Linked DNA regions of Diceros bicornis minor. The protein of the gene in region 1 purifies or fractionates together with the protein of each later gene. This does not show direct contact. Links are inferred from orthologs where the notes say so. Each region holds a gene or a part of one and is shown in the gene's direction. Other genes may lie near its edges. The genes, in order: SRPK3, CCDC86, SON and FTSJ3.

Region 1 (7,884 bases):
TACATGCTCCTCCGGGCTATCCAGTACCAGGTGGACAAGGGGCCTGTGGACGCCGTGACGGGCAAGGCGAAACGGACCCTGAACAACAGCCGCCTGCTGCGGGAGGACGTGGAGTTCCGGCCCCTGACGCTAATGGTGCTGGTGGGCCCCGGGGCTGGCGGGGCCTCCGGGAGCAGCGCGGCACAGCGCGTGCCCGCCCGGGTCCTCGACACGGACACCATCACCCAGGTCAAGGAGAAGGTGTTGGACCAAGTCTACAAGGGCACCCCATTCTCCCAGAGGCCCTCAGTGCATGCCCTAGATCTTGGTAAGAGAGCCCGTCCCCTCCTCCCTGCCTGGGCCTGTTCCCACGTCTCCATGCTCAGCTCTGCCTTGCTCCAAATGGCGGACTTGGGGAACAGGCTCTGGGCTGATTGGCTTCCCTGGGTCCCTCCAGAGTGGCGCTCGGGCCTGGCTGGTCACCTAACCCTGTCAGACGAGGACCTGACCTCGGTGACCCAGAACCACTGGAAGAGACTCAACACTCTGCAGCACTACAAGGTGCCGGGTGGGCATGGGCCGGGGGGCGGGCCCCCGCCTCTGGATCAGCCAGGGGAGGAGCCCAGCCTCTCCTCCCCTCCCCGCCAGGTCCCGGATGGAGCCACAGTGGGGCTCATCCCCCAGGTGCACAATGGAGGTGCCATCTCCCAGAGCTTGGCCCAGAGCTGCCCCTCACGGGAGAGTGAGTCCTGCAGCCCAGACGCACTCATCTGTCCCCAGGACCTTGAGGCGAGCCGGCAGGAGTCCTGGGGATGCCATCTGCCTTGCCTGGTTCTCCCCACCACCTTGCCAGCGGGCAAGCCAAAGCTCCAGGCTGAGCCAAGGGCCTGGGGTGGATGAGGGCAGCGGTGTGTCCTGGTCAGGGAGCTCCAAGGTAGTGGGGTGTTGGGCTGAGCAAGTCCCTGGGCTGCCACCCTCCTCTCCACATCTCCCCTGCCCTACTTTCTCGGCTCCCCCCACCCTGCTCCACCCCACCAGGTGAGTGGGCTGGGCATCCTCAGCCAGTGGCGTGGGGTTGGGGGCAGAGGCATAGGACTGAGGTGGGCTTCTGTGCCCTCAGACATCCCCATGCCAGAGGACAGTGAGGAGGGTGGGGTCCGCCTCTGGCACCTGGTGAAAGCCACCGAGGAGCCAGAAGGGGCCAAGGTGCGGCGCAGCAGCCTGCGGGAGCGGGAACGGGAGCGGGCACGGGCCAAAGCCATTCCGGAGATCTACCTCACCCGATTGCTGTCCATGAAGGTCAGTGTGGTGGGGGAGCCAGGTGGCGGGGAAGGCTCACCAAGGGGGCCCCAACTGAGCTGCGGAGAGGGCATGGCCCTGAGAGGCAGAGGGGCGGCCCCACCCGCTGACAGAGCCTGGGGCTGGCCACCACCTCGAGGGCCCCACATCCTGCTCGTCACCCAGCCCCCTCCCCTGCCTTCCAGGGCACACTACAGAAGTTTGTGGATGACACATTCCAGGCCATCCTCAGCGTGAACCGGCCCGTGCCCATCGCTGTCAAGTACCTGTTTGACTTCCTGGATGAGCTGGCAGAGAAGCACGGCATTGAGGACCCGGAGACCTTGCACATCTGGAAGACTAATAGGTGCCTCGGCTGCTGCCCCTGCCCCCAAGCAGATGGGACATGGAGTCCCAGAGGGACAAGGACATTACCAGAGCGGGGGTGGCAGGCCCAGGACAGGAACCCAGGCTTTGCGGCACCCACCCTGGATTTCTGGCTGCCCCCAGCATGGGCTCACAGTACAGCTCCCCAGGGAATGGGGATCCTGGGCTGGGGCCCAGGCTGATGATGTGAGGCCCCATGCCCATGGACGGCCTGTGTCCCCAGCCTGTTGTTGCGGTTCTGGGTGAACACCCTGAAGAACCCACGGCTCATATTTGACGTGCGGGTGTCGGACAATGTGGATGCTATCCTCGCCGTCATCGCCCAGACCTTCATCGACTCTTGCACTGTCTCAGAGCATAAAGTGGGCCGGGTGAGAGCGGAGCTGGCTGGCGGCAGCCAGGGGGTTCAACAGGAAAGGGTGATGGGGAAACCATGGGGGCTCGATGCAGAGCAGGGTGGGGCTGGGGGATGGTGCCTAGTGGGAGCCAGGAGGTCAGGGGGATGGGGCCCTAGTGGCGCTGTCAGGGTGACAGGGCCGGAGCTCCACTCCCTCCCCGCTGACGCCCCACCCCCCCGACCCGGAGCAGGATTCCCCGGTGAACAAACTGCTCTACGCCCGGGAGATCCCCCGCTACAAGCAGATGGTAGAGAGGTAGGTGTTGGGGCATCACGGCTGGGGGTGGGGGCTGCCCGCGCTAACTGTGTCCCCTTCTCCAGATACTACTATGACATTCGCCAGAGCTCTGCGGCGAGCTACCAGGAGATGAACTCGGCACTGGCTGAGCTCTCTGGGGTGAGGCATGGTCCAAGGGGTACAATCCTCCACATTTAGGGGGCAGAGTGGAGAAGGGAGACCTGGGGCTTGAGGCCCAGGCTGGGGCCTCATCCCCCCATGTGCTGCCCCCAGAACTATGCCTCTGCTCCCCACTGCCTGGAAGCTCTACAAGAGCTCTACAAGCACATCCACAGGTATTACGACCAGGTGAGGCCCAGGGCACTCCAGGGGGGAGGGGCAGGCCCCCAGAGCCCAGAGGGAGGCCCCAGGAACCTCCCTGGGGGCAGGGCGGAAGGGGCTTGGCTTCCATCCGTATTCCTCAGGGAGGCCCAGGGCAGCCCCTACAGGATCCCCAGGCCAATGCTGAGACGGAAGCAGAGCTGGGGGGCCCTGGGCCAGTGAGCAGAGGGCTAAGGCCTCAAGCAGGGTGCCCTCCTCTGCCCTGGCAGATCATCAGCGCCCTGGAGGAGGACCCTGTGGGCCAGAAGATGCAGCTGGCCTGCCGCCTACAGCAGATCGCCGCCCTGGTGGAGAACAAGGTGACTGACCTGTGAGCTTGGGCCACAGCAGGTGCCAGAGGCCGCCAGCTTGGAGAGCAGCAAGCAGGACCCACCACCGCAGTGCCTTACGACCCCTGGATCAAGCCAGCACCAAGAAGGGGCCAGCAGGGGGGGCAAGGGGCACAGCCAGGTGCTGTGCCTGCCCGGGGGCTCCCTGCTGCCTCTTCCCTGCGCCTACGCACCCTTCCTTCCCCCACCTGGGCTTCTTTCTAATTTATAGCCATCCTTACCCCTTCCCCCCTCCCTCACTGTATTTATTTGCTTGCTAGAGAATCACATCTGGAAATAAAATAGAAATCTGTCTTTTTAGAAAAAGCCCCTGCCTTCCCCGGCGAGTCTACTAGGTGCTCCCTGCACGGCCTTCCCCTCGGCCCCATGGCTGTGGCTTCTGCTGCCTGAGGAAAAATGGGGTCATCAGGCACCCCCAGGCCTTGCTCTCCTCCCTCCACTTGCCTCCCCTGCCCCTGTCCTCCCGCCCCCATCTATGCCCACTCCACCCTACCAGTTCTTTCCTGGCACAGGGACACAGGGCTAAGTGTCTCCCACCTTAGGCTAACTACAGTCATCTCCACGCCCCCTCCTTTTCATTCTGACTCCCCAACAGCCCCCAGCCGGCCTCCCAACTCCACTCTTGCCCCCTCTATTCCCTCCTGGCAGCAGTCAAAGTGATCTTTCTAAAGAGCAAAAGTGCCCAGCAGCCTCTGCTGGAACCCACTAGAGCCCACAGGTGCCCCTTGGCCACCCGAGGCCTCCCTCCTTTCTCCCACAGGGGTCTCCAGCCCATCCTGCTGCCGCTTACCCACCCACCCCCTTTCTCGAGACCCGATTCTTCCTGGTCTCTCGTATGCAGCCCCAAGGTCACAGGCTCCAGAGGGCTTTCCCTGACCTGGATGTCCCTCTGTCACAGCTCGGTCGAGATGTGGGCTTGTTTGCTCTCCACTAGAGGAGGACCCCTGAGGGCACATGTTGGTGAAAACAGTGAGCAAGTCAGGGATCGCAGGCCTGGAGCAGAGAGGGAGCTGGGAGGGAGAGCACACAGACTCACCGTGGGAGTCCTGGATGGGCAGGTTCCCAGGCTTCCACTCAGGCCCGGCACCTGTGGTGGGAGGAATGCGTTGCCTTCAGCTCAGGCCTCTGACCCTCACCCAGCCAGGGCCCCCAGTGACACCACATTCAGGGAGAGGAGGGAACTGGGCTCCCATCTGTCTTAGGGGTCAAAGAGCCACAGGCAAAGTGGGAACCTGACTGAGAGTGGGCAGGGAACGGGGTACCCATAGGAATGGGAGGAATCACCTCAGGGAAGGCTCCCACAAAGGCCAAGCAGGAAGCCAGAGAATGTTCCAAAAGTGTCACTTGGTGCCCTATGGCACGTGGGGGGTGGGGTGGGGCTCTGCCTGAGTACCAGGTTGCCATGTCCACCATGTCCTTGCATGGCTGTCCCCCTCGGCAGGCTCTGGAGTGCGGGGACTCAGCATGGGGACCAGGTCACTGCCACATCTGCACTCAGTGGGCCCCTCTGCCAGCCCTGGGGTGCAGGGGCTTAGCCTGGGGAACGGGTGGCCACATCCCCACATGCCTGTCCCCCTTGGTCCTGGGATGCGGAGGGGGGCTCAGCGAGGAGGCCGGGTTGTGCTACGTCCCCGCGGTGGCCCCCTCTGCCAGCCCGGCGGGGGTGCGGGGGCTGGGGGTCTCGCCCTGGAGGCCGGGCTCTCCGGGCCGCCATCACCGCACCGCCCCCTCCCCGCCGCATACCTTGCCCACAGCCGAGCAGCTGGGAGGCTATTTATAAAGTCGGGTGAGATCAGCGGCCGAGGCTATAAATGCGCGGGCCGCGGCCAGGCCCCACAGGAGCAGCCGCCCGGGGCGCCGGAGCTGCGGGCCGCGCAGCCGGGATGAGCGCCAGCGCGGGCTGTGGCAGGGACAGCGGCAGCAGCAGCAGGTAGGGCTCGGCCCGGGTGCCCGGGGCCCCTGGCGTCTCGCGCACTCACTGCCCACCCACCCCGCCCGCAGCTCGCAAACCTCCTGCGGCCCCGAGTCCTCGGGCTCCGAACTAGCCCCTGCCACACCAGCACCACAGATGCTGCAGGGGCTGCTGGGCTCCGACGACGAGGAGCAGGAGGACCCCAAGGACTACTGCAAGGGTGAGGCCTGGCCTCAGGCACAGGCAGCCACGCAGCCTCCTCAGGGGCGCAGGACAGCCAGGGTGGAGGGTGCCGGAGCTGGCCCATATGGGCCAGGGGTCCAGCAGGGCCAGGCTGTCCTGGGGCATAGCGGAAGGCGACGTCCCCCGGCATGCTCTATTGGCTTCCTTCCCCAGGTGGCTACTACCCCGTGAAGATTGGCGACCTGTTCAATGGGCGGTACCACGTGGTGCGCAAGCTGGGCTGGGGCCACTTCTCCACCGTCTGGCTCTGCTGGGACATCCAGTGAGTGCCCCCTCTATCCCTCCGGGGCCCAGTGCCAGCTGGGATCCTGGCCCTGGACTTGGCTGGGGTCACCACAATGTCCCCTGCCGGGGTCTAGCCTGGGCTGGCAGCCGACACGGGTCTTGGTGTTGCAGGCGCAAGCGCTTCGTGGCCCTGAAAGTGGTGAAGAGCGCAGGGCATTACACAGAGACAGCTGTGGATGAGATCAAGCTCCTGAAATGTGTGAGGCGCCTCCCCTACCCGCTCCCAGCTCCCCGAGAGCTGCCTGGGGCCTGGCAATGTGGGTGCAAGGCCTGCCGGGGCTCCTGGGGCGGGGCTCCCAGAAGGGCTGGCTCCAGCTGGCTCTGCCCCCGTGGGAGGACCTGGAGGAGGAGGCGAGGGAGGGGCCGGCGGCCTTTCTTTCGGTAGGGCCCAGCCAGACAGGGAGAGAGGGCCATAGGTGCCACAGGGGCCGTTGAGGGGAGCAGTTGGTGAGGGACAGGTTGGAGCCATCTGTGGCCCCTTGGCTTTTGCTCCAGGTCCGAGACAGTGACCCCAGCGACCCCAAAAGAGAGACCATTGTCCAGCTCATTGATGACTTCAGGATTTCAGGAGTTAATGGAGTCCGTATCCTTTGTAGGCTGAGCAAAGCCGTGTGGCAGTGCACGGGCCCCTTGTGCCCTCCCAGCTACTGGGGCCTCAGTTTGCTGATCTGCACGATGGGGGTTTACCCCTTCCAGTGACACTAGTCTATGAAATACTCCCACCACTTTGGGGATGTGTTTATGTGGTGGGGAGTGGATTACCAGGTCAGCGTGGGTTACCCATGGGCGTTGCTGAGTTACCCCTAAATGGCAGGGGCCGCCTCTGTGGCAGGGCCTTCCCTCCATGGGGCTGCCCGGAGGCTCTTTGGCATACCTGGGCATAGGAGTGGGGCTGGCCTGAGAGGCCTCCCTGTCTGCTCCTCCAGTGCCCCCTCCCTAGGAGGACCAGAGAATGGAGCATCCCAGCTGGCACACCTGAGAGTGACAGGGACACTATAACGACACCAGGATGGTGGTGACTACCAGGACCACCCAGGCCCAGCTGTGCACTGCTCAAGCCTCATTGCTCCGCCACCCTAGCCAAGGGTGGGTGGGACTTGTGCCCCAGCTGTGTTTCCACTGGCTGCCCTTCACTCTTGGCCCCAGATGTGTGCATGGTGCTGGAGGTCCTGGGCCACCAGCTCCTCAAGTGGATCATCAAGTCCAACTACCAGGGCCTTCCCGTGCCCTGTGTGAAGAGCATTGTGAGGCAGGTGAGCATTCCGGGCCCTGGGTGAAGAGCACTGTGAGGCAGCTTGGTTGGGGCTGGTGGAGTTCAGGAGTGGCTCTCCCCAGGTGCTGCATGGCCTGGACTACCTCCATACCAAATGCAAGATCATTCACACGGATATCAAACCTGAGAACATCCTGCTGTGTGTGGGGGACGCCTACATCAGGCGCCTGGCTGCCGAGGCCACAGAGTGGCAGCAGTCAGGGGCACCGCCCCCATCCCGCTCCACAGGTACCAAGATCCTGTGTGTGGCTAGGATGGGTCCTGTGGGTCTCAGCCCTTGCCTAAGTCTCTGTTTCTTTCTCTCCCCCTGTGCTCCGCCTGCCCCTCCAGTCAGCACTGCCCCCCACGAGGTTTTGGTAAGTTGGGGCGCCCCTCGTTTCCTGCGCCTCATCTCCCCATCTCCTCGGAGCTCGCCTCCTCTGCCTCTCTGGTTCCACCCCCTCCCCAGCACTCTTGCAGTGGCACTTCCAAAAGGCTGTGTGGCCCGGAAGAGGGTGATACACAGGGTGGGTCACATGCCCCAAACTGCCCTTGGTGGCTGCTAGGCTTGCCACTGCCTCAGTGGTAGGACGCTGCCTCTAGGACTGGGAGGGGCCAGGGCTGCCGGCGCCCAGAGGAAGGCAGGCCTAGCAGCTCCTTTCCACCCTCGACCTTTGGGAAGTGGAGGGCAGGAGGGGAGACAGGAGGTGGGTGAGGGGCTGGAGGGGGTGGCACCGTGGGGCATGCGGGCCACGGGCAGAGGCTCGGGCTGCTCAGGGGATGGACAACAGGAACTCTGGGGTAACCTGGCTCTAATGGCAGACTGGAAAGCTGTCAAAAAACAAGAGAAAGAAAATGAGGCGCAAACGGAAACAGCAGAAGCGGCTGCTGGAAGAGCGGCTGCGGGACCTGCAGAGGCTGGAGGCCATGGAGGCGGCGGCCCAGGCCGAGGGTGAGGGGCCGGAGGGGGCGCCGGGCTGCCAAGCACGGAGCAGGGTCTGCAGGGGCGTCTGCTCACGTGCCGCCTCCACCCGTCTCCCCAGACTCTGGCTTGAGACTAGAGGGGGGCAGCGGCTCCACATCTTCTTCCGGCTGCCACCCCGGGGGGGCCAGGGCTGGCCCCTCCCCAGCCTCCTCCTCCCCCGCCCCGGGGGGCAACCGCAGCCTCAGCCCCAGCTCCCAGACCTCAGGCTTCTCTGGCTC
Region 2 (7,617 bases), on another chromosome or scaffold:
GGTACCTAGAAGCAGCTGTGCACACACACATAGGAGGAATGGGGAGCCAATATTGAAAGAGGAGAGCGGGGTTGCCGGAGAGGTCAAAAAAAAGGCAGTAAGGCTAAATGACAGATCCTGTTCTTGTCCAGAAAAGCCAACAGCTCATGTCCAGGATCGGGGAACAGCAGCTGGAACCAGACGGAGGGCTTCAAGTGGTGGCTCACCCTTGGGAAGAGGATGGGGACCTGGCCACACTGATAGGAATCGTGGAGAAGGGAGGTGACAAATCTACTCGGCTCTCCATGGGGCAGTCAACCCTGGCTGCCTGAGGGAGCTCTGGGCACCACTTTCTGGAAGGCTCATCAAGAACTGATGTCTTTTCCAAAAAGTTACCATGTTGTCATGGGAGGGACAGCTGAAGGAGCAGATGTTCGGCCTGGATAAAAGACAATTCTGGGGAAGCTACAAGAAAATTGTGTTCAAATACTTAAGAGACCTCAGCATGGAAGAAAGGGCAGCCTGGAACATGTGGCCCAATGAAGAACAGCCATGCTCAGCCCCAGCCCAGTGACAACTCTGCCTCGTCGGGGTCCTGCTCTCTCTCCAGCCACACTCAGCAACATCCCATTTACCAGATGCACCCCCCAGACTGAGGAAGTCCTTACACATCCTCAGCCCCCATCTCCCAATCCTGGGCCTGCCGGACGTGAGAGTGAGGGCTCGGGTTTGGAGCAGGGAAGTCCCAAGTTCCAGTTCTGTCCTTGTACCTTGCACCCTCTCCTTGTGTCACCCTGTCCCAAATCACAACCTCTCTCGGCATTGGATTTCCTTGTCGGTAAACTGGGGATGTTCATCCCTGCCCTGGAGGGTTGTAATGAGCATCCTTCCACTCACTCAGCAAATGCTTATCCAGCAGGGTGCTGGTGCAGGCAATCACATTCCTGCATTGATGCTCCAGGGGGTTAAACGAGCAACCAGGAGAGGCCCAGCACTTAGGAAGGGCTCAGTTAGTGCTGATAGTGGCTGGCAGGACCCGCCCATCTCCGATCTTTGTGCTGAGCAGAGGACCGCGGGATACAGGCCCCCAACACCTTGGACTGTCAAACCCTCTCACATCAGCACCCTTGGCTGCATGGAGGACGGATGGCTCAGAGAAGAATACCCGATCCCTATCTTCAGTCCTCTGTGGTGCATGGTTTCCTTCAGTCAGCAGATCTCAGTTGCATAAATAAGCTGAGGATTGCCCATTCAGCACACTCTGCCCTATGTGTATGCACACAGAGCCACAGCCAGTCCTCGGGGTGAGGTGGCACCCAGCCCCTCCCAATGCACAGACCAGTATCAGTGTGAGGAACAAGCGAGCAAGGCCCACATAAGGGGCAGTTTTAAGGCAGCTAAGCATGTCAGCTCTGGAACTGTAATCCTGGCCCTTCAATGTGTCACTGTGTGACCTTGGGCAAGCACCTTAGCCTTTCTGTGCCTCGGCTTCCTTACCTGGATAACAGAGACATTTACTCTTAAGAGTTGTAGTCCTGGGCCGGCCCCATGGCTTAGCGGTTAAGTGCTTGTGCTCCGCTACTGGCGGCCCGGGTTCGGATCCCAGGCGCACACCAACGCACCGCTTCTCCAGCCATGCTGAGGCGACGTCCCACATACAGCAACTAGAAGGATGTGCAACTATGACATACAACTATCTACCGGGGCTTTGGGGAAAAAAAGGAGGAGGATTGGCAATAGATGTTAGCTCAGAGCCGGTCTTCCTCAGCAAAAAGAGGAGGATTAGCATGGATGTTAGCTCAGGGCTGATCTTCCTCACAAAAAAAAAAAAAAATGAGTTGTAGTCCAGCGGTCAGACAGCCTCGGTATGGATCCCACCTCCACCACTTATTTGCTGTGTGACTTTTACAAGTGTCCCAGCCTCTCTGTGCCTCAGTTTCTTTATCTGTGAAAGGGGAGTCATAACAACAGCACCTGCCTCACAGGGTTGTTGTGAGGATTAGATGGGTTTGTACGTCCAGAGCTCTTGAAAGAAGGCCTGGCCCAATAACTGCTCGCCCCACTGGTTTAGGCTGGGTTCCTCCAGAGCTGACTCTGAGACAAGGATTTTAGTGCAAATAGTCTGTTCAGAGAATGCCCCAGAAGCACCCACAAGGAGTGGGAAAGTGAGGCAGGCACAGGGAAAGAAAGAGAGTGCATGAATGATCAGGTGACCTTCATAGACAACTGGGGCTCAGTCCTACCGGGGGTCTTGGAGGGATGCTAGAGACTCCCTTGGCATCCTCCCACCCAAGGGCAAAGAGTCCAGGATGGCTACAGCAGAAAGCAAAGGCGTATAAGGGAACAGAGTCCCAACAGTGACTGCCACACTGGGCTTTTCTGAAAAATTCAGGAGTCTCCCCTAGGCCTCTGCACACTGTTTATAGTGACAATGACAACTGAGCTTAGGAGGGAGTGGAGGGTTCCAGGCCAAGTTCACGTGATGCCACGTTGATTAAGGGTCTCCACGCCTGATTTGAGGGATGTCTGTAAGACGTCTCCCTCTCTCACACCACCCTGGCAGGTACCTGAGATTACCCTCTGAAGCATTTTAAGTAAGGCCAGGATTTAACCCAACTGGCCTTTGAGAGCAATCCCTCCAGCTGAGGGAGAACGGGAGTTCAGGAAGCAGGGAGCCGAGGAGACCCGGAGCAGGGCAGTGGCAGTGGGGTGGCGTACAGTCTCCTCCAGCGTGGCACGGTTCTAAGTGGCAGGCCATTGGAGTCTCCAGGCAGGGGCAGGGAATTTAAGGAACCGAGGGCTGGAAAGCTGGGCAAGGAGGAGTCTGAGCCGCTTCTGCAGTGGGGAGCTGCTCTGCTGGGCAGAAGACTGAGACGAAACCTCAGTGCAGGGCCTTCCTTGGCCCAGGAACATGAGAGCGCTGATCCTGCGGGTGGAGCCTCTGAGAGGGGCCAGGAAGGCAGGGACTGATATATGATTTCAGCACAATTATTTTGGACGACACGGAGGTCCAGTGGAGAAGACGTGCCATCGTCTTACCCTGAGGGAGGTGATTTCACAGGCTAAAGTTATCAGGATGCATTTTGGATGCTGTGTGGCACCAGCCAAGGAGGGAGAGGCATTAAGGCATTCTCAATCCACTTTTCCACCCTCCAGGAAGCTTTCTCTGGTTTTGCCCCCTCCTTGATCAGCAATCAAGACAAGCAGGACCGGGCCGGCCCCGTGGCTTAGTGGTTAACTGCGCGCGCTCCGCTACTGGCGGCCCGGGTTCGGATCCGGGCGCGCAGCGACGCACCGCTTCTCCGGCCATGCTGAGGCCGCGTCCCACATACAGCAACTAGAAGGATGTGCAACTATGACGTACAACTATCTACTGGGGCTTTGAGGGGGAAGAAAAAAAAGGAGGAGGATTGGCAACAGATGTTAGCTCAGAGGCGGTCCTCCTCAGTAAAATGAGGAGGATTAGCACGGATGTTAGCTCAGGGCTGATCTTCCCCACAAAAAAAAAAAAAAAGACACGCAGGACCTCATTTGACACTTACTCCTGCTCCACTGTCGGCAGAGTGACTCAGCAGCTGGAGGTTGTGCTCAGCAACCAGGCCCTGGCCGTCCTCCTCTGCCCCCTGATCACCCGTGGACAACTTCCCAGGCCCTCCCACAACCACTCAGCTGAAGAAACAAAGGTTTCTAAAAGAAGCCACTGAGACAGCCAGACAGGGACCTTAGATCCCTGAGGGCCAATGCCCAAAAATAACACTGGAGAAGAGCTGGATGTAGTTGGGCAACTTCCAAGATGCTCTTCCTAAGAAAGTCTCGTGCTGTGAGTGACTCAAAGCCCGCTCCTGGGTCTCACGCAAAGGAGGGGAGGAGGCAGGTTCACACACTGGGGCAAAGACGGCTGCCTTGGCTGAAAGGAAGCTCAGAGACAATCCAATCCCTGTGTCTAGAAATGGGGCAGAAGGGGGACCTGAGAGGGTATGCAGCATGGCTGAGGGCCCAGGTGTGCCACAGAACAAAAGGGGTGCATCTTACGGGTACCTCAACTTCAGGCATCAATGCTGAAAATGTTGCAAAGGGAGAGCCATAGACTTGATACTTAGGCACAGAATGGGAGAAGAAAAGGATGTGCAAACTTATATAATGCAAGACTTAAGTGATTTCCCATCTCCAGGATCCGCCAAGTAACATTCACTCTGGCAGCAGAATCATTTTAGATACACTAAACTAATGCAAATCACCCATATTACAGATGAAAAAACTGAGTCCCAAAGAGGGTGGGATCCCAGCCCAACTGCACAGGCGATGGGAGCAAAGTTTCCATCCAGCCTTGCCTACGGGCTCCCTGGATCTTTTTCCAATCTTTTTCTCTCCCGGAAATGGGTCCCCCTTCCCTTCTCTGCCTGCACACTGTGTTTTCCCTGAGAGCCTGTGTTTGCAGATAGGCCAAGCGCGGATTTCAAGCTAAGACTTGCTCATCAATCAAAGGAATGCGCCCAAGCGCTTTGCGCATGCGCCTAGTAAGCCCAGCCCCTTCGGGCCGCCAACCCCGCCTCTCCGCCCGTCACCAACATGGCCTCCCAGGCAACAGCTCCTCGTGCCCAGCACAGACGTGGCGGCTCCTGACGTCATACGCCGGCGCCGGTTGTCCCAGAGGGTGCACGTGGGCTCGGGTTTGGGAACTTGCTGGCTGGGGCATGGATACCCCGCTGAGACGCAGCCGGCGGCTGGAAGGCCTAAAACCCGAGTCCCCCGAGAGTCCCACTTCAGTGTTGCGGGCGAGACGGGCCCTTGTGGAGTTCGAGTCGAACCCAGAGGAAACGAGGGAGCCCGGCTCTCCTCGGAGTGTGCGGCCACCTGGCCTGGGGTCCCCCCGGCGTCAGCAAGATCCAGGCCTGGTGTCGCCCCCAAGACAGCCGGATTCGAGTCCAGAATCCCCCCGACTACAGCGAAAGCCAAGTGGGGAGTCGCCAAAGTGCTCCCAGGGCCAAGAAGAACCGGACTCGGAGTTGGCCCAGAGGAAGGAGGAGCTGGCCCCGGGGTCCCCCCGACATCAGCTGCAGCCGGGCCCAGGATCTTCAGAGCCTTACCCCGGTCAGCCAGCGCCGGGTCCGGAGCCCTCGCCGCCGCTACAGGAGCTGACACCCCCGTCACCTGGCTTCCCCCGGGGTCAGCGCGAGCCGAGCAAGCCACCTGCGGCCGGGGAGCCGGGGAGAGACGGCCTCGGGCCAAAGAAGCGAAAAGGTTCTCCAGCCCGGGCCCCAGCGTCCAAGAAGTTGAAGGAGGAGAATGAGGTTCCCCTGATCCCGAAGGGAAAGCCCAAGTCGGGGCGGGTGTGGAAGGACCGCTCCAAGAAGAGGTGAAGTGGGGAACAGCTGGGCAGGGCTGGGGTGCGACCTGGAGACAGCCCCTGGGTTGGAGAGGGAGTTGGACACAAACAGGTCATTATAATCAGAAGGTGGTAAAATGCCTGGGACCCAGGGAAGGTGAGACCAGGCCCTCAAAGGTTATTTCTGTGATGCTTTTCCTCCTCAGGTTCCCTGTGGACCTCTCCTGTAGCATCTCCTTTGTGTATTCATTCAACAGACATTTCCCCTGGCCTGCCCTCTCTCTAGAGAGGGAGGCAGAAGCAAGTAAGCCAGGCAGTACTTGATAAAAAGCAGTGCGGTCTTCACCCACTGTTATCTGTTACAGTTATTTGCATTTGTGATAAAAAGTATTCCTGAGCGCTGAGTATATAGGACACTTTAGTAAGAGTTTAGTAAGGATTGGCCCCGGGAAGGGCCTTTCAGACAGAGGGACCAGCACGCATTGAAGCCGCATATCAGCCCTATGGGGCAGCAGGTGTTAGGATTTTCCTCAGTTTACATATGAGGAAACTGAGGCTCTGCAGAGGAACCGGGGGTGAACAGACTGTGGGAGGGCAGGGGTGAAAGCAGAGAGCCTGCAGGAGAATTAAAACACCTTCAGAGCTGCAGGCAGGCCTTGTGGCTAAGGGCCAAAGGGCCATGGAATTATGTTTGGGATCTTTGAGGAAGCAGCTTCGGTGGGTGGTGAGTGAGTCCAGAGGTGGCGAAGGCAGCTCGTGTTGCAAAAAGTGGCCCAGCAAAGGGGGGATATGGAGGGAGGCGGTCCCGGCTGGGAAGCTGCAGCCCCACCTTCCATGCTCATGCCAAATGCCACCTTCTGCACAGTGCTGCATGGGTGTGCTGTCTGCCTTCTCTGAAGGGTGGCCTTTATTGAGCACCTACCGTGTGCAGAGCTCTGTCCTAAGTGCTTCTTGAGTCTTGTCTAGATTAATCTTCCCACCACCCTTTGGAATGGGCATGATTCTCGTCTCCATTGAACACGGGAAGGTGCTGAGACCCAGAGCAGCTGGGTCTCCAGGTAAGACTGATGCCATGGAACTGCCCCAATATTTTAGCTGTCAGCCACATGTGGCTATTTCAATTTAAACTGATGAAAATTAAATAAAGTTCAAAATTCTTTTCCTCGGTCACGCCAGCCACATTTCAGGTGCTCAACAGCCAGTGTGAGGAGTGGCTACCTTATTGGACGGCGTAGATATAGAGCATTTCCCCCATTACAGAAAGTTCTGCTCAGCAGCACTGCTCTAGAAAGATGCAGGATGTGACCTGTAGTGCGGTGTGTGCCCAGGTCCCCACTGCCTTGTCCCTTCTGGGTTGTCATACCCCAGTTTGGGGTAGGAAAATTCTTCTGTGCTCAGAAGACCAGGTTTCAGCAGCGAGCTCTTGGAGAGGGGGAGAAGGAGCAGGGGGTGGTGTGCTGGGGTCAGAGGCAGGCAGAGTCGGAGAAGGGGGCGGGCAGAGTCAGGCTGAACATGGACGGGTCTGGGGTCAGGGTCCGGGCTGTGTGTGCTAGACTCCTGTGGAGCAAGAAGCGGGGAAAACGGCCCAGAAGACTCTCCTCCATAGACAGGAGGGGGCTGTGCCCTGCGCGCAACAGCCTTCAGAGGCTGGGGTGGGACTGGCTGACCTACTCTGGCAGTTTGGGGCACAATATAATGGACATGGATGAACAGGAGCTCTCAGAAGTCAAGAAATTGGTGGGGGAGGTGGAGAGGCCACTATGAGAGGATCTGCTAAGGAGAAAAGGCCCGTGGGACACCTGAACAGGCTTCAAATCGTTCCAGGAGAAAGACCTTACAGAAAAGGGGAGAGCATGGTTTCATGAACCCCCCATGTCCTCATCACCAGCTTTACCAGTTCTCAACATTTTACTCGTGTAGCGTCATCTTGCTCCTCGACACTTTTTTCTTCTTTTTTTTTTTTTTCCTGGAATATTTTACAGCACATCCTAAATATGTCATTCCACCCATAAATCCTTGTGGGATGCATTCTTACACAGATAGTCTCGCTTCCCCTATGACTATAGTGTCACTGTCACTCTTAAGAAAGTCAAGGCTTCCCTAATATCCCCGAATGCCTACTCTATTTTCACACCCTCCCCTGATTCATCACAGAGAACTGTGACCATTCACGCTGTTCTGAAATGGAACGGGCCACCTCCGTAGGCAGGGAGCCCCATCTCCAGAGGTGTTCATGCCCAGGGCAACTGCACTTGGCAGAAGCAGCAGAACTTTACAGCAGAGGCCGTGTGCCTGGACTCTGTGGTCACAGA
Region 3 (7,213 bases), on another chromosome or scaffold:
AGAGTTTAATGTAGCATATGATCTGATCATTTTTTCATTTTTACCAGTGGAAGACATAAGGGTTGAGATCTATTATGGAGTTAGAATTGCCAGAACTTACATTTAATAGCACTGCTCAACTTCTCATTTCCAAAAATACCCATCAAAATGCCTTTTACCTCTATTAGACACTTGTGACTTTTCCAATGGATGTGTTTTATAAGGTTTAAAATAATTTAAGGTAAGGAGATGCCACACTCTGAACAACAGGATATCTAAAATTTACAACATATGCCAAGTATTCAAATTACCACACAAATTTTAAGGTTAGGAAAAGTATTCAAATCAGAATAGCAAGTGACCTTATAAAGAACAGATGTAGGTGACAATTTATCATTTACAATTATTAACTATTACTCCCCACTTTAAAACATAATTACCAGTATTTGACATCTTTTCGGAGGAGGCAGTGCCTGCATTTCCTGGAGCAACCAATACTTGTTTGACATGATTAGACTGAGCAAGTTTCCAGGCCAGCGTATGTTCCCTTCCTCCATTGCCAATTACAAGTACTCGAGCTGCCATTGCTGTCTGCAAAGCAGGAATTCAAAAGGAAAATGAAAGCTGCAGAAAGAAAAGCACAGTTGGTATTTCAGAATGCACATACTTCAGAAGTCACGATTTCTAAACATGATTTACGTAGTCATTTGTATTCATACAATGACATTTTATTCCAACAATTTATTTGTGAAAAATTAGGATTCATAATTTAAGAAATATGACTGTACTCATAATGATTAGGGAGGTATTTTAAAAATGAGGCAGATGGGCCTAGACAGCTAGGTTAAGGAATGCAACAGCGACTTAGCTCTTTACCTGTTAAAAAAAAAAATCTATGAATAATCACCCTTCCTTGGGCTTCTCCTTTAGAAGATTTAGTAATCATCAAGCCTCAGTTAAAAATGAATCTTGATGTTTTAAATTTAGACCCAAAACTTGAAATAACTTTTTTCGTGTGTGTGAGGAACATTGGCCCTGCGCTAACATCCATTGTCAATCTTCCTCTTTTTGCTTGAGGAGGATTGTCCCTGAGCTAACATCTGTGCCAATCTTCCTCTCTTTTGCATGTGGGATACTGCCACACCATGGCTTGATGAGCAGTGTGTAGCTCCGCGCCTGGGATCCAAACCAGCGAACCCTGGGCCACCGAAGCTGAACGCGCAAACTTAACCACTATGCCACCGGGCTGGCCCCGAAATAACTGTTTTTAAACCTTGAGATCGTATAGATAATAGACGTTAAAGTTATCATAAATTGGAGGCAATATTAAGACTGGGGGCTACAAAGTCAGATAGTAAATATTTTCACCTTTGAGGGCCATAATCTCTGTAACTACTACTGAACTCTGTCACTGTAGCACAAAAGCAGCCACAGCCAATACATAAATGGATGCTATGTCCAGTATACATAGGCAGTGGCCTGTAGGTCACAGTCTGCACTAAGCAATAGGAAGCTACCAGAGGTTTGTAAAGAATAAGCATGGCTGTGTTTCAAAAAAACTTTATTTATGGATACCGCAATTTGAATTTTGTATAATTTTCATGTGTCAAAAACATCATTCTTCCTTTTATTTTTTTTCCAATCATTTAATGATATAAAAATTATCATTATTTGGTGGGCTGTACCAAAACAGGCGGCAGGAAGGATGTGGCACTAGGGCCGTAGTTTGCTGACCCCTGATTTAAGAAATTAGTGCAATAAGTTAGAAAATTGGTAGAAAAGTCAAAAATCAAATCTGAACACATCTCACTTTAGTTCTGGCATATGATTCTGAGCAGGATGGGTGCAATAGCACTCTCTTTCAACTCAAGTGAGCAGTGTGACATTGAGTAAGCTTTTACTATCTGTAATTCAATTTCTTCACATCTTAAAAGATGGAAGTAAGAGAACTTGCCTTATGAGGCTACTTAAGATTAACTGAAATGACATTTATAAACAATTAGTGCAATTTCTGACACTCAGCAGCAGTAAACGCTAACTTGCTATATTTTATTTATTACTTTTACCTAAATTGATAGTACTCTACGGATAGAAAGAAGTTCTAACAGGAAAAAAAAAAAGCCAAAGTAATGAATAATTTGTCACATTAATTTACTAATTTTCAGAAGACATTTATGTAGAAGGCAAACTGATAACAGGAAAAAGAAGACTGAAATCAGTAACTTATGAGACGATAGGATTACCCATTTAAAGAAAAATCTAACCTGATAATATAAAAAACACTTTTTGAGCACTTACTTTGTGCCAGATGCTATTCTAAACTGTTTTCATGAATTACGTCACTTAATCTTTGTAAGAATCCTATGAGGTAGATACTATTACCATCTCCACTTTACAGATAAAGCGAGGTCCAGTAAAATTGCTAGAGGTCACTAGAGCCAGTAAGGGGTGGAGCCTGGATTCCAACGGATGCAGTTTTGCTTCAGATACCCTAACGATTGAGACGGTGATCACTGAAAATTTGAGGAGAGAAAAAAACCCTGCTAAATTACCCTCTCAGAGGGGGACAAGCTATTTTAGTTTAATGGAAAGCACAGACTTGACACGTGTATTAAAATATCTGAAATAAACATACCTTTGAACCTGGAGAAAATATTACGTTCAGTTGGAATACGAGGGGCAGGGAAGGGAAACTGTCCTGGTTAGTAAAGTGGATCACTGAAATAGCATTAGGACTCAGCTGGAAGGAATCTACCTCAGGAGCGGGGAGCAGGCCTTGTTTTGGGCCAAGACTCTGCCCCTTAAGCTAGGATACTTTGAGGGACTTAATTAACCTTCTTAGGCCTCTGTCACCTAAATGGGTAACATAACGAGAATGAGAGATCCAGGCAAAGCCATTTCAAAAGATTTGGTGAATGATATAAAGCAGAAACCAATTCCAAAAGTCGACGAAATAATCTGCTGGAGGCAGTGGGTGCATAACGAGAAAATACGCAATTGAGGTTTACGACCTAAAAAAAGCCTAAAGACACAAAAAGGTCCCGACATCTTAGAAAGCAGGGAAAGTGACAGAGCCAATGGAAACCTCAGTCCAAAGAAGTGAAAAGCACATGGTCACCCCCCACCACCCACGGCGTTTAAAAATAAGACAATCCCCACAGCCGAACAGTTCCTACAGTTTCATTCGATGCCTGGTATTAAAGCCCCCAACCAAAGCATAAATGGACTTAAAAGCGGAGGGGGTTACGCACCGACACAAGGCCGTCTCCAGGTTGCACTCACCCGCCTCGCCTGCCCGCGCCGGATGTCGGCCGAGCGGATGCGGGCCCGCGCCTCCCCGCCCGCCCCGCGGGGCTTCTCCTCCCCATTGGTCGGCGCGGCCCCTGGTTCCCGCTAAGACGGGGTTAAGTGGGACTCCCTCCCGCGCCGGGCGCGCCCTGAGCCTACTCCAGAGCAAGGCTATCAGACCCTGGCGCGTTTCTCTTGTAACACTAGAGGATCAGGCCCACGTAGCGTGTCTGTTCCTTCTCGGGAGCCTCCCAAGCTCAGAGGAGGGGCAGCGCCAAAATGCTAACTCCACGCTTAGCTGCTTGTGTTGCTAACGAGGCAGAACTGACCAGGCAGCGCGTACAAGTCTCGTGACACGCCTGGCGCCTGACGGGACTAGAATGCACCAGCCTCTGAATGCAGATGGCTCAGGACCTCCCGCCTATTGCTTAAAAAAGAAAAAAAGGAAATGAAGCCGATTATAGGATCCCCTGCGAGAGAGATGGGGTGAAAGCGTGTTCTTCGTATTTGCACCACAGTGGGGGCGGGCGCTGATTAATGCTTTTCCGGACGCATCTCCCTGCTGAAACTCAACTTGGCGCCACCCGGGAATGTTGGGGGGCCCGTATCAAACACCATGTTGCCCTTCTTGCTCCCTTTCCTGTTGACATTTAATCTCGGGCGTTCGGTGGCTAAAATAAGCCTCTTAAGTCCCCCAAACACCGTTGGGGACTGACACATTAAGCTCGCAGACTTCCCTCAACAGAGACTTCTCCTGTAATGGCGCCTGCGTCAGTCACTAACATGGCGGACACAGTCGTGCGCGGCGCAAACGTCAGCAGCTCTACCCCAGACGCTCAGAAACAGCGGAGGAGAGCGGAGCCGTCTTCACTGATTGGTTCAGCGGTGGAACGTGCCGGTCTGGGCGCTCTCCCAGGAGCCAATCAGGACGGCGAGAGACGGAATTGGCCTCTGCGCCTCCTCCCGAGGCATGCTGGGAGCCTGGAGGACTAGCGAGGAGGAGTTGAGAGAACGGAGCGGACGCCATGGCGACCAACATCGAGCAGATATTTAGGTCTTTCGTGGTCAGTAAATTCCGGGAAATTCAACAGGAACTTTCCAGGTAAACGTTTCCCAGACTCTTCTGCTCCCAAGGGACCGATAGGGCGCCGTGTAGCCTTCCATGGCACCTCTCTTTTGAGGCGCCGTCGTTCCTCGCCTCAGGCCCCGCTACAGCCCCGCCTGGGCCTGGGATCCATTTTCCGGGCCCTCCCCCCCCATCCGTTCGCTCCCTTCCCAGCCAGGAACTTCGCCCTTTCCCAGGGAACCCCAGACTCCCTCTTCTAGAACCGAGTTACGATGCTCGCCCTCCTCTCCGGTTTGGTCATCCCCTACCCTTTGGCTCCTCGGCGGCCTGGGTGTCCGCCGGGGACGGGCCTAGTTCCTGCCTCGGCTCCTCCTCCGCCGCCGCCGCGTCCCCCTCCCCCTCCCCGCCTCCGCGGCTCTCGCCGGCCGGTGCCTCTGACCGGAAAGGGTCTCTAACGGCTGTTTCTTGGGTAATCTTAAATCCGCTTTATTATTGCAAGCTGCAGATCATTTGGGGATCGGGATCCTTTAATTAGATTATTTGGGCCCTAGTGTCCAGTGGCTTCCACCAGGCCGCGTTCTAATAGCTTAGCAATTTAAAACGGCTCAGATTCACGTTAGCTACTTTGGCGAAATATTCCAGGCGGGGATGGAAGGGGACTTGGAATTACTAGTGATTTCTGAATTTACCAAGTGGAAAGCGGGGTTTGTGTGTAGGTCTCAGTTTTTTTTTTTTGCTACCCCTGCCCCAAGTGACATATTTGAGCAACACGTTTCTTTTGCCTTTGCTGTTAGAATTTACGTAGTTTATCCTCGATTCCCCAAATTTGAATGGGAAGAGATTTCCGAAGAAATAGTTGTTTCCTCAGTAGGGAGAATAGCGTGGATCATGTTGTCGTTCAGTGGTTGTCTTTTAGTATTTTTGCTTTGTATAATAACGTAACTGTTTGTTCCGAGTTCAAATGTTTTTGCTAGTTGTCTTTTAAAAGTTGAGAGCAAGAGCAATACGTGAATTTGAAAATCAGCCGAAAACGCAATTGTAAATTAAGCACTCAAATTAACATAGAGTTATTGGGGGCAATGATGTAGTATTGCTGGAATTATTATTCTTGCAGGATATATTGTTTTTTAACTGGAAGGTGTATCTCTTCACTCATTTCACTGCTTTAAAAATTTTTTTGTGCTAGTGATTTTAGGTTGATGAGAAAAGACCTGAGCTAAGGGAATATAATTTTCCTGAAAACTTTTTAATAGTTGCGTGCAATAAGTAGTTGTGTTTTTTTATTGTAATGCCTTGTTTTTATTCCTTTTAAGAATCAGTTTTTGTAATAGAAAATGAGTTTCATTGTAGAAAATTTAGAAAAAAGAGGAGAAAGAAAATAAAAATCCACCAATTAATTATATTGATGCTCTTTATGTCCTTTCGTTTTTTTCCTTTGCGTACAGTTGCATATACATGTTTTGAGAAATGTGATCGTGTTTTGTGTTGTTTTTTTTCACGTAATATACATATGGTGAACAAGTTTGTGTTCTATTACAGTCTTAGTAGTCTTTTGGGACTTTTTCATGGCTCTTTAGACTTCTATTGTAGGAACGTATTGATGGATAGTTAGATGGTTTGAAATTTTCATCCCTTTTCAGCAATTGAGGTAAACATTCTGATAGCTTTAAGAGGATAACTTTCTCATAGACTGGCCTTTTTAGTGAGGTAATTATGTATGTGTAAGTGCTTAAGAAAAGTGTAAAATGAAGAGTTCTGGAAAGAAAATCTAAAAAGGATATTAAAGCAATTTATTACTAGAGGAATGCTCAGCTTCTTAAATAATAGGTAATATGTTACCAGTCTGAAAACAAATTTTTGATTATTTGCCATTTCAGTGAGCTATATTTGCATTTTTTCCCACCTGTTTTTATATGTATCAGTTTGGGTAAGGAGACTTCCATTTAGATAGTTATCATATATAGATGGGGGTTAGGAATATGAGCTCTGGTTTTGAATACCAGTTTCACCTCTTAATAGATGTGACCTTCAGCTAGGTTTGTTGTCTCTGCCTCGTTTTCCTCGTTTATAAAATGAGAGTAATAATGATGATCTTAGAGTTTTGTTAGGATTAAATGAGTTATTAAAATGTAGAATTGGGTGACACTAATTAATGGTCCATAAATGTTCATTGTTATTATATGATTCATTATATTAGAAAACCAACTGTTCCTTAATAACATTTAGTTGAATACTGAATTTTTAAATTTTTTGACTGTTCAGGCTTTTATCAGGTATTGGAAGCATAAGTTTTTGTTAGCTGTGTCTGTTTTGTTAGCTAAAATTTAAGTTAAATTGTTGAAGTTATTTTTCAAAACAATTTTGTAAATGTAAGCAAAAATAGTAAGAATGACTGGGTAAATAAATGTCAAGATTGTTCTGGCTCTGTGAATTGAAAATATGTGAAGCCATTCATTCCTTTACTGTTAGTATAATGAATTGTCACTTGTTTTACATGAATTTTTTTTGAACACCAGGAATTTTTTTAATCCCAGGATTTTTGATAACTGGATAAAAATGTTTTTAAAGTTTATGGCATTTCAGTAACTTAAGTCTAAACCTGATCAGAGGCTGCAAGTTACCCTTTTTACTTAATGTGTTTGTGTTCCTTGATACTGATTATGATCCGTGCACAGGCGTGGCTTTATCGTGGCTATAGCTTCTCCCATAATGTTAGGTCATATATTTTTCTTTGGATTTGAGATGGCAATCTTAATTTTCCTTCCCTGAGATAAATATGCAGGTAACCTAAATCTAAATCAATTTAGGTTTCTGGGAGAATTTTATTAAAAAAAAAAAAAAAAGATGAGCTTATAAATTTGTTCAGAGACTTTTTCTTAA
Region 4 (7,456 bases), on another chromosome or scaffold:
CCTCCTGGGTGACATGGACTCGCCGCTCCCGCAGGGCATACATGCCAGCCTCAGTGCACACGCCCTGAGAAGGGAAAGGAAGACAGGCGCTATTGCTGTGCCTTTGAACCCAGAGCTTCCTGCTTCTGCCCCCTTTCCCTTGGGCACTCCAATTACCTTCACTTCAGCCCCTGATGCTCCTGGCATGAGCTCAGCAATTTTTCTTAGGTTGATCCCCCGAGTCAGGTTCATTTTCCGAGAATGGATCTTCAAAATGTCCAGCCGGGCCTAGCGATGGGAGAGGAAGGGTTTGAGCCCCAAAGCTTACCCCCATAGCCAGAGCCACTCCCAGCACTTGCCCATCACAAACCTCCTCATTGGGGGGTGGGAATTCAATTTTTCTGTCGATGCGCCCTGGGCGAAGCAGCGCCGAGTCCAGGATATCAATCCTATTAGTAGCCATGATAACCTGAGTGGAGAAAGGGGGTGGCATCAGCTAGGCCCTTCCTCAGGCTGCAGGTCACCCAGGCCCTTCCCTTGGCTCATCCTAAGACGCCACCATACCTTGATATTCTTGGTGGCCTCAAAGCCATCCAGCTGGTTGAGCAGCTCCAGCATTGTGCGCTGTACTTCACTGTCCCCTCCAGAACCCCCCTCCAGTCGTGAGGAGCCAATGGAGTCAATTTCGTCCATGAAGATGATGGATGGAGCGTGTTCTCGTGCCATGACAAACAGCTCCCTCACCATTCTTGCCCCTGTGCAGAGGCCAAGCTGGCATTAAGGAGTTGATGAGCTCCCAACCCTTCACCTCCACCCCTTCACTTCCACTTGGTTTTCATGTTTCTAGCCACATGATTTACCTTCCCCAATGAATTTCTGTACCAATTCAGAGCCAGAGACACGAATAAAGGTACAGTCTGTATGATGAGCCACAGCCCGGGCCAGCAGTGTCTTCCCAGTGCCTGGGGGTCCATACAGCAGCACTCCCTAAAGAGAAACAGCAGGACTCAGGGCAGAAAGCCAGCCCCCTCATTACTGAAGGCTTGCTCTGTGCTAGATGCCATGTTAGATGCTAGAGATACAAAAAATGAATGTTACGGTCCCTTCTGGAGCTTGTATCTGAACTACCTCAGTGCCCTGGCAACATCTCTCCCCTAACCCCTCTTTAGAGGGGAGGGTCAGCTCAAGTAGGCTGTAGTCTGTCTCAACCCCTGTGCTCAGTCTGGCCTGGGACAGGAAGTATACAGTACAGCCCTCCCACAGAGGCCCTGCTTCTCACCTTGGGTTGTGCAATGCCCAGCGCTTCAAAGAGCTCAGGATGCTTAACAGGCAGCTCGATCACTTCTTTGATCTCCTTGATCTGCTTATCCAGTCCACCAATCATCTCGTAAGTTGAATCTGGCACTTTCTCCACCATCATCAATGAAACCAGTGGGTCCACCTTATTGGGCAGGATCTTGTGCAGAGTGTAGCTGTCATTTCTTAGAGCCACTCGGCAGTTGGGTGTCACCTGGGCGAGGGGAGATGATTTCAGGAAGTGGTGTGGTGAGTGCTGACCCCAGCCTCCCACCTCACCTGCTGCACTCACATCATTGATGTCAATGTTCTTGTCCACGTCCACAACAAACTTGCCCTCAGGATGTACCTAAAGACACAAGGGGTCGTGACTTTCCCTGACAGCCACCAAATCACCAACCTCACCCAGGAAGACCCATGAGTCCTCGAATAACATGACAGAACAGTGTCCTCCACACAAAGCTATGGAAATACAGTAGGCAATGGGCTGGTCCCTGGAGTCATGCTGCCTTTACCTTAACCAACACTTTCTTCTTATCCATGGCCCGGACGACTTCCCCCACATAGGAGCCCTGTTCCTGCAGCAGCTGTAGCTCCTCCCGCAACAGGCGAACTAGATGCGAAACAGACATAGTGGTCACCCAGCTTTTTTAGTATTCCTCTCCCCCGCGACTCAATTCGATATGCATGAACTAAGCCCCATTTTAAAGTTTTGAAGGGAAGGCCACAAAAAGAAAGTAAAAATTCATGTCTTTAAGGAGATTACAGTGGGGCTCAAGAAAGAGATGTGCATGTGCACAACTGTATAACAGTGCAAAGTATCACCTTGGACTGGGAGAAAACAATAAGTACCAATGTGAAGACTCACTTCAGGGAGATCTGAACAGTCAGACCTCAGACAAACTGCCCACATGCAGCCTTCCCATCCTTCCACTCTCACCTTTTGCATTAAGCTCATTCCTCTGTGCCTGCAGCCTCCGGAGATTTTGGCTCTTGTCATTCACAATTAGCTGTGGAGGACAACAAACAAAGGGCAGAAAATAGTCCAAGGTTAAGATCTTGGCCAAGACCCTCATAGGCTGCTATGAGCTGAGTGAGGGAAGAGCACAGGGCACCTGCATGTTGTTTCAGATTTTCCAATATGATCCTAATGACCCTTCCTGTCCTCCAAGAATCCCTCTGGAACCTAGGGCAGCCACCAAAAAAGGCTGCTGGTCTAACACTGGTCCAGGAATCACAAGCCCTAATGGAGAAAAGTTACAGCTGGCTCAGGCAGTCAATTTCTTGCAGGGCATTAACATGGGAGAGTGGGAAGATACTCCTCAGTTCTAGCCCCACTGCTGCCAATTAACAGCTAGGTAAAGCTCAAGAAAGCCATTTAAAAGGTCTAGATCCAGGCCGGCCCCGTGGCTTAGCGGTTAGGTGCGCGCGCTCCGCTGCTGGCGGCCCGGGGTTCGGATCCCGGGCGCGCACCAACGCGCCGCTTCTCCAGCCATGCTGAGGCCGCGTCCCACATACATCAACTGGAAGGATGTGCAGCTATGACATACAACTATCTACTGGGGCTTTGGGGGGAAATAAATAAATAAAATCTTAAAAGGTCTAGATCTGTTACCGAACTACAAGTAAATATAGCATCACCTACCCTGCCTCTCTTCAGGACTACCATGAGGAACAAACGAAATAACACATAAAAGCATTTCACAAATGATAAACCAAACATAACACCTCCAATGTTAACTAGAGTTCAAAAACTTTCCTTGTGGCTTTCCTCCATCCAATTAGTTATTTTCCTTATCTCTATGGTCCCTGCTCCCTCTTTAGGCTAGAGCACCGGGTAGCCCAATTCCTTTTCATTCAGTCCCATGGAATCAGCATTGTCCAGACTCCTCAATTCCATCTTTCCTCACACTCTCACTCTGCCCCAACCCCTCTCTGATAAATCTCATCTCCGGAATCTGTCTTCCCTTTTATAAGGAACCCTCCCATTCAGGCTTCTTCCAAAAGGAATGGCCTTTGGCTAGCGGTACCTTTTCTGTTAAAATGTGACTCTTGAAGATGTGTAACAAACTGTGAATACTGATTACCTTCAAAGGGGTGGGATTTGAGGGGAACAAGAGACAAATTCAGATACTTTATATCGTTGGCTTGTTACTTCTTTCGCTGCGCCCCCAGTGGAATTAGATGGATTTGTAGAAATCTGCTCCATCAATCCTTCATCCCCCTTCTAGCTCCCTCTGGACCTCTGGAGTCTGTCCTCACCTGGAGTTCTTCAATCTTGGACAGATAATACTGGCGGAGTCCACTGCCTGCCTTCCCCTCTTCCAGCTCCATCTGAAGACACAGAGTAATTACTAAACAACAGGCTAAACATCCAAGGAATAAAGACACTTCCAGCTTGGACTCTGGAGGTTTAAGATCTGGGTTCTAATCCCTCACGCCATCTCTTCAGAACCCTCCATTTCCCCATGACTAAACTAAAAACAGAATGAGAATGCTGCCTACCTCATAAGACTTTCGGGAGAATCAAGAGAGCAGAAGCGCTTTGTACCGAATCAAGCGCCGTACAAACTCGAAGTACTATTACTACAAGCGGAGCCAGGCAGAGGGACGGGCGCTCCGTTTCCTGCGACTCGCGGCCGGGCCGGTTCCCACTCCCATCGCTCCTCTCACTCACTCCGCTTCCACCGTGTCTTCCACTCCCGTCCCTGCCCTGACCCACTGGGGGCGGCGCTGACACAGCAGATCCGGTCACAGGCAGGGCCCCGTCTGGACTGGTCCACCCACTCCCGACCCACCTGACCCTCCTGCCCAGGCCCGCTGCCCACCTCGTATCCAGCCTGCTCCGCATCCAGCCCTGGTCCCCGCCCGACCGCCGCCGCCGCCATACCTGCTCCGGTCCGTCAAGCGCCATCTTCTTTCTTCCGCGAAGACCGCCGGCAGCCAAACCGCCTTGGCGCGCAGGCGCAGAAGCAGGGGCTTGGAGACCGCAGACGCGGGAGAAGAGTTCCGGGTCAATGGGCGGAGTGTGCAGAGAGACGATAACAACTGGGGCCGTGATGGGAGGGGCTTCCCGCGGTCAGGAGAATTGGAAGGTGATGAAAAGGGCACAGAACTCCTAAATGTTACTCCCTAGAAACTCTGTTTTAGTTCAGGTAATCTTCTCTCGTTTTCCCAATTTCCAGCTTTTAAGACCTGGGGAGAGAGTAGTTACAGAAAAAATTATATGGCCACACTCAAAATGGCGGAAAACTTGGAGCCAGGGACGCAAGCGGCGCAAGCAGAAGCGGAAGTACGTTTGCTGCCTACATGTGCGGCTCCAACGAGGTTGAAAACGGCGCTGGGTGGAGGTGAGTGGTGCAGGGTTGAGTGGTGTGGAGCAAGGCGCAGAGTATGGTTGCTACGGCAAGTGGGAAACGGAAAGCGGAATGTAGAGCTCCGGGAAAAAGACGTTCCAAGTTCTACTTTCTCCCCAGACTGAGTGACACTCCCCGTTTCCACCATGGGCAAAAAGGGCAAAATCGGGAAGAGCCGGCGGGATAAGTTCTATCACTTGGCGAAGGAGACCGGTGAGTCGGGGTTCGCGCCGTCTGCGAGCGAGCGAGCGACCATCGGCGGTTCACCTCCCTTTTCGAAAATGAGTTTCTTTTCCGCAGAAGAGTTGGTGGGTTGTGAGGCCCCAGAAATCCCGCTGGGAGAGCGTTCGCGAACTTGATTATTTTGTCGCTGCCCCCAGGTTACCGTTCCCGCTCTGCTTTCAAGCTGATCCAGCTGAATCGCCGCTTTCAGTTCCTGCAGAAAGCCCGAGCCTTGCTGGACCTGTGTGCTGCGCCAGGGGGATGGTGCGTAACACCTGGCACCTGTCGCCCCTGGTGGCAGCTGTCTGGGTTCTGGCCTTGGATGACTGAGTTGCACTGGGGCAGGGATACAGTAATACCACCTCAAATTTTTATACTTTCCAGAACTTAGACTGCAGAGGAAAGATTTGGAACGTGTATGTGTGACATTCTCTGGCCACTGCACTTGATAGAGGCTCCTAACACTGGGGGTGAGAGATCACATTGCCAAGGGAGGAAAAGGGACGGTGCCGGGTATTTTAATCTTTGTTTCTCTTTTATAGGCTGCAGGTGGCTGCCAAGTTTATGCCTGTATCCAGCCTTATTGTGGGTGAGTGACAGGTGGCTCTCCTGGGTGTTTTAGGGGCTCAGAGTATGAGGTACTGTGTTCTGCATTTCCTTCGTCCCTGCTTGAGTCAGCCTTTTGGAATACTCTGATCTGATTTCTTCCAGGAGTGGACCTGGTTCCAATCAAGCCTCTTCCCAATGTGGTGACACTCCAGGAAGACATCACAACAGAACGCTGTAGGCAGGTAATCTCTGTTCCCTTAATATGCACACATCCATGTCTGTTCCTCTTCTCACCCCAAGTTCCCTGAAGGCACGATTTTTGCTGTTTACCATGCCTTGAGCAGTGCATGCAAAAGATGTCTGTATGCCAAGCCCTGTGATATGCCTAGTGTCCACTCCACCCTTTATTTAGTCAGGAATGAGGTGTTTGGAATTGGAGGAAGTGCAGAGATTGCAGTGAAATCCTTTCCAGTGGGCTCACTAGTAGGCTGTAAGCTCTGTGAATACAGGGAAGTGTTATTTTTGTTTATTATTGTATCCCTTGTGCCAGACACAGGATTTGTTGAGTGGGCACTCAACAAATGGCTGGGTGGACAAATGGCTGAACCAGGGACTCCATTCATAGCCATTCTTGTGTTTCTCTTGCTGTAATACTTTGTCTTCTCTGTAGGCCCTGAGGAAGGAGCTGAAGACCTGGAAAGTTGATGTAGTGCTTAATGATGGAGCCCCCAATGTTGGGGCTAGCTGGGTCCACGATGCTTACTCACAAGGTGCTGGGAGTGGGGGGCATGGAGATAAGGGTGGAGGTGGAGGTGGGCATGCCCTCTCAGACTGCAGAGGTCTTCAGCTAACTCTCTGTCTCCCACAGCCCATTTGACACTGATGGCTCTGCGTTTGGCTTGTGATTTTCTGGCCCGTGGTGGCTGCTTCATTACAAAGGTTTTCCGTTCCCGTGACTATCAGCCCCTACTATGGATCTTCCAGCAGCTGTTCCGCCGTGTCCAGGCCACCAAGCCCCAAGCCTCCCGCCATGAATCTGCAGAGATCTTTGTAGTCTGCCAGGGTGGGCATCACTTCTTTCTTTCTCTTGACTTCATCTCACAACTACCAAAGCACATTTTCTTATATGTTCTATCATCTTAGGATTCCTGGCTCCTGACAAGGTTGACAGTAAATTCTTTGACCCCAAATTTGCCTTCAAGGAGGTTGAAGTTCAGGCCAAGACTGTTACTGAGTTGGTCACTAAGAAGAAGCCAAAGGTGTGTTTGGGAAATGGGCCCACCCTCAAGTCTTGGAACTATAGGGAGGCTGGGCCTGGTGGGTTGTACAGACACCCCAGAAGGGACTGCTTAACCTTCATCTCCCTCCCTAAGGCTGAGGGCTATGCTGAGGGCGACCTCACTCTCTATCACCGTACCTCAGTCACTGACTTCCTCCGAGCTGCCAACCCTGTTGACTTCCTCTCCAAAGCCAGTGAGGTGAGTCCTCAAACTTGAGGGGTGTAAGAGAGCCCCAGAAACATGGCCTGAGAATCTCTCCTGACTCCTTTCCCTCCTCCCAAACAGATCTCTCTAGATGATGAAGAGTTGGCACAGCATCCAGCTACCACTGAGGACATACGGGTGTGCTGTCAGGACATCAAAGTGCTGGGGCGCAAGGAGCTTAGGTATGTGGTGGGAGCAGGTGTAGGTGCTAGGAACTCTGAAGGCAGGGAAAGGCCTTTCAAGACCATGACGTTGAATCTTTGGGAACAGGATGCCGCTGTTAGAGGTTTGGGGTGGAGGCCTGAGCCCTAGGGTTTATGTGGCTCAAGAGTGAAATCTGGACCTAAAACAGAGGAAGGGGCAAGGACAAAGGGAGCCAGTAAGGTCAGTAATGGTATTTCTGGGTCAGGTCCCTACTGAACTGGAGAACGAAGCTTCGGCGATATGTGGCCAAGAAGCTGAAAGAGCAAGCAAAGGCCCTGGACATCAGGTGAGGAGGAAACTAAACCACAGTAGGTGTTGACGGGAGGTGTCTGGGAAAATAAACAAATTCCTTGGAATGTTTTGTTA

The links.
Region 2: the proteins of SRPK3 (region 1) and CCDC86 purify together in Homo sapiens (affinity purification with mass spectrometry; 3 studies listed by BioGRID and IntAct, with this or other methods). This does not show direct contact. The link is inferred for Diceros bicornis minor from reciprocal best matches to the Homo sapiens genes SRPK3 and CCDC86.
Region 3: the proteins of SRPK3 (region 1) and SON purify together in Homo sapiens (affinity purification with mass spectrometry; 3 studies listed by BioGRID and IntAct, with this or other methods). This does not show direct contact. The link is inferred for Diceros bicornis minor from reciprocal best matches to the Homo sapiens genes SRPK3 and SON.
Region 4: the proteins of SRPK3 (region 1) and FTSJ3 purify together in Homo sapiens (affinity purification with mass spectrometry; 3 studies listed by BioGRID and IntAct, with this or other methods). This does not show direct contact. The link is inferred for Diceros bicornis minor from reciprocal best matches to the Homo sapiens genes SRPK3 and FTSJ3.

What each region holds. Positions count from the first base shown.
Region 1 is NC_080781.1:137,846,419-137,854,302, forward strand, and holds the start of SRPK3 (SRSF protein kinase 3), read left to right. Parts: upstream 1-4,872; coding exon 4,873-4,919; intron 4,920-4,990; coding exon 4,991-5,121; intron 5,122-5,297; coding exon 5,298-5,406; intron 5,407-5,540; coding exon 5,541-5,628; intron 5,629-5,924; coding exon 5,925-6,012; intron 6,013-6,575; coding exon 6,576-6,682; intron 6,683-6,764; coding exon 6,765-6,930; intron 6,931-7,032; coding exon 7,033-7,058; intron 7,059-7,503; coding exon 7,504-7,633; intron 7,634-7,724; coding exon 7,725-7,884. Other genes in the region: PLXNB3 (plexin-B3), read left to right, coding at 1-307, 437-540, 628-721, 1,100-1,278, 1,464-1,624, 1,868-2,015, 2,233-2,297, 2,363-2,438 and 2 more. UniProt on the Homo sapiens protein: Serine/arginine-rich protein-specific kinase which specifically phosphorylates its substrates at serine residues located in regions rich in arginine/serine dipeptides, known as RS domains.
Region 2 is NC_080770.1:12,563,589-12,571,205, reverse strand, and holds the start of CCDC86 (coiled-coil domain-containing protein 86), read left to right. Parts: upstream 1-4,603; 5' UTR 4,604-4,673; coding exon 4,674-5,335; intron 5,336-7,617.
Region 3 is NC_080766.1:34,056,853-34,064,065, forward strand, and holds the start of SON (protein SON), read left to right. Parts: upstream 1-4,207; 5' UTR 4,208-4,292; coding exon 4,293-4,369; intron 4,370-7,213. Other genes in the region: GART (trifunctional purine biosynthetic protein adenosine-3), read right to left, coding at 420-564. UniProt on the Homo sapiens protein: RNA-binding protein that acts as a mRNA splicing cofactor by promoting efficient splicing of transcripts that possess weak splice sites.
Region 4 is NC_080757.1:46,648,045-46,655,500, reverse strand, and holds the start of FTSJ3 (pre-rRNA 2'-O-ribose RNA methyltransferase FTSJ3), read left to right. Parts: upstream 1-4,449; 5' UTR 4,450-4,625; intron 4,626-4,751; 5' UTR 4,752-4,777; coding exon 4,778-4,844; intron 4,845-5,011; coding exon 5,012-5,117; intron 5,118-5,395; coding exon 5,396-5,442; intron 5,443-5,564; coding exon 5,565-5,644; intron 5,645-6,072; coding exon 6,073-6,172; intron 6,173-6,270; coding exon 6,271-6,465; intron 6,466-6,545; coding exon 6,546-6,661; intron 6,662-6,775; coding exon 6,776-6,880; intron 6,881-6,967; coding exon 6,968-7,068; intron 7,069-7,295; coding exon 7,296-7,376; intron 7,377-7,456. Other genes in the region: PSMC5 (26S proteasome regulatory subunit 8), read right to left, coding at 1-64, 157-267, 350-448, 544-734, 840-966, 1,259-1,489, 1,568-1,624, 1,791-1,888 and 3 more.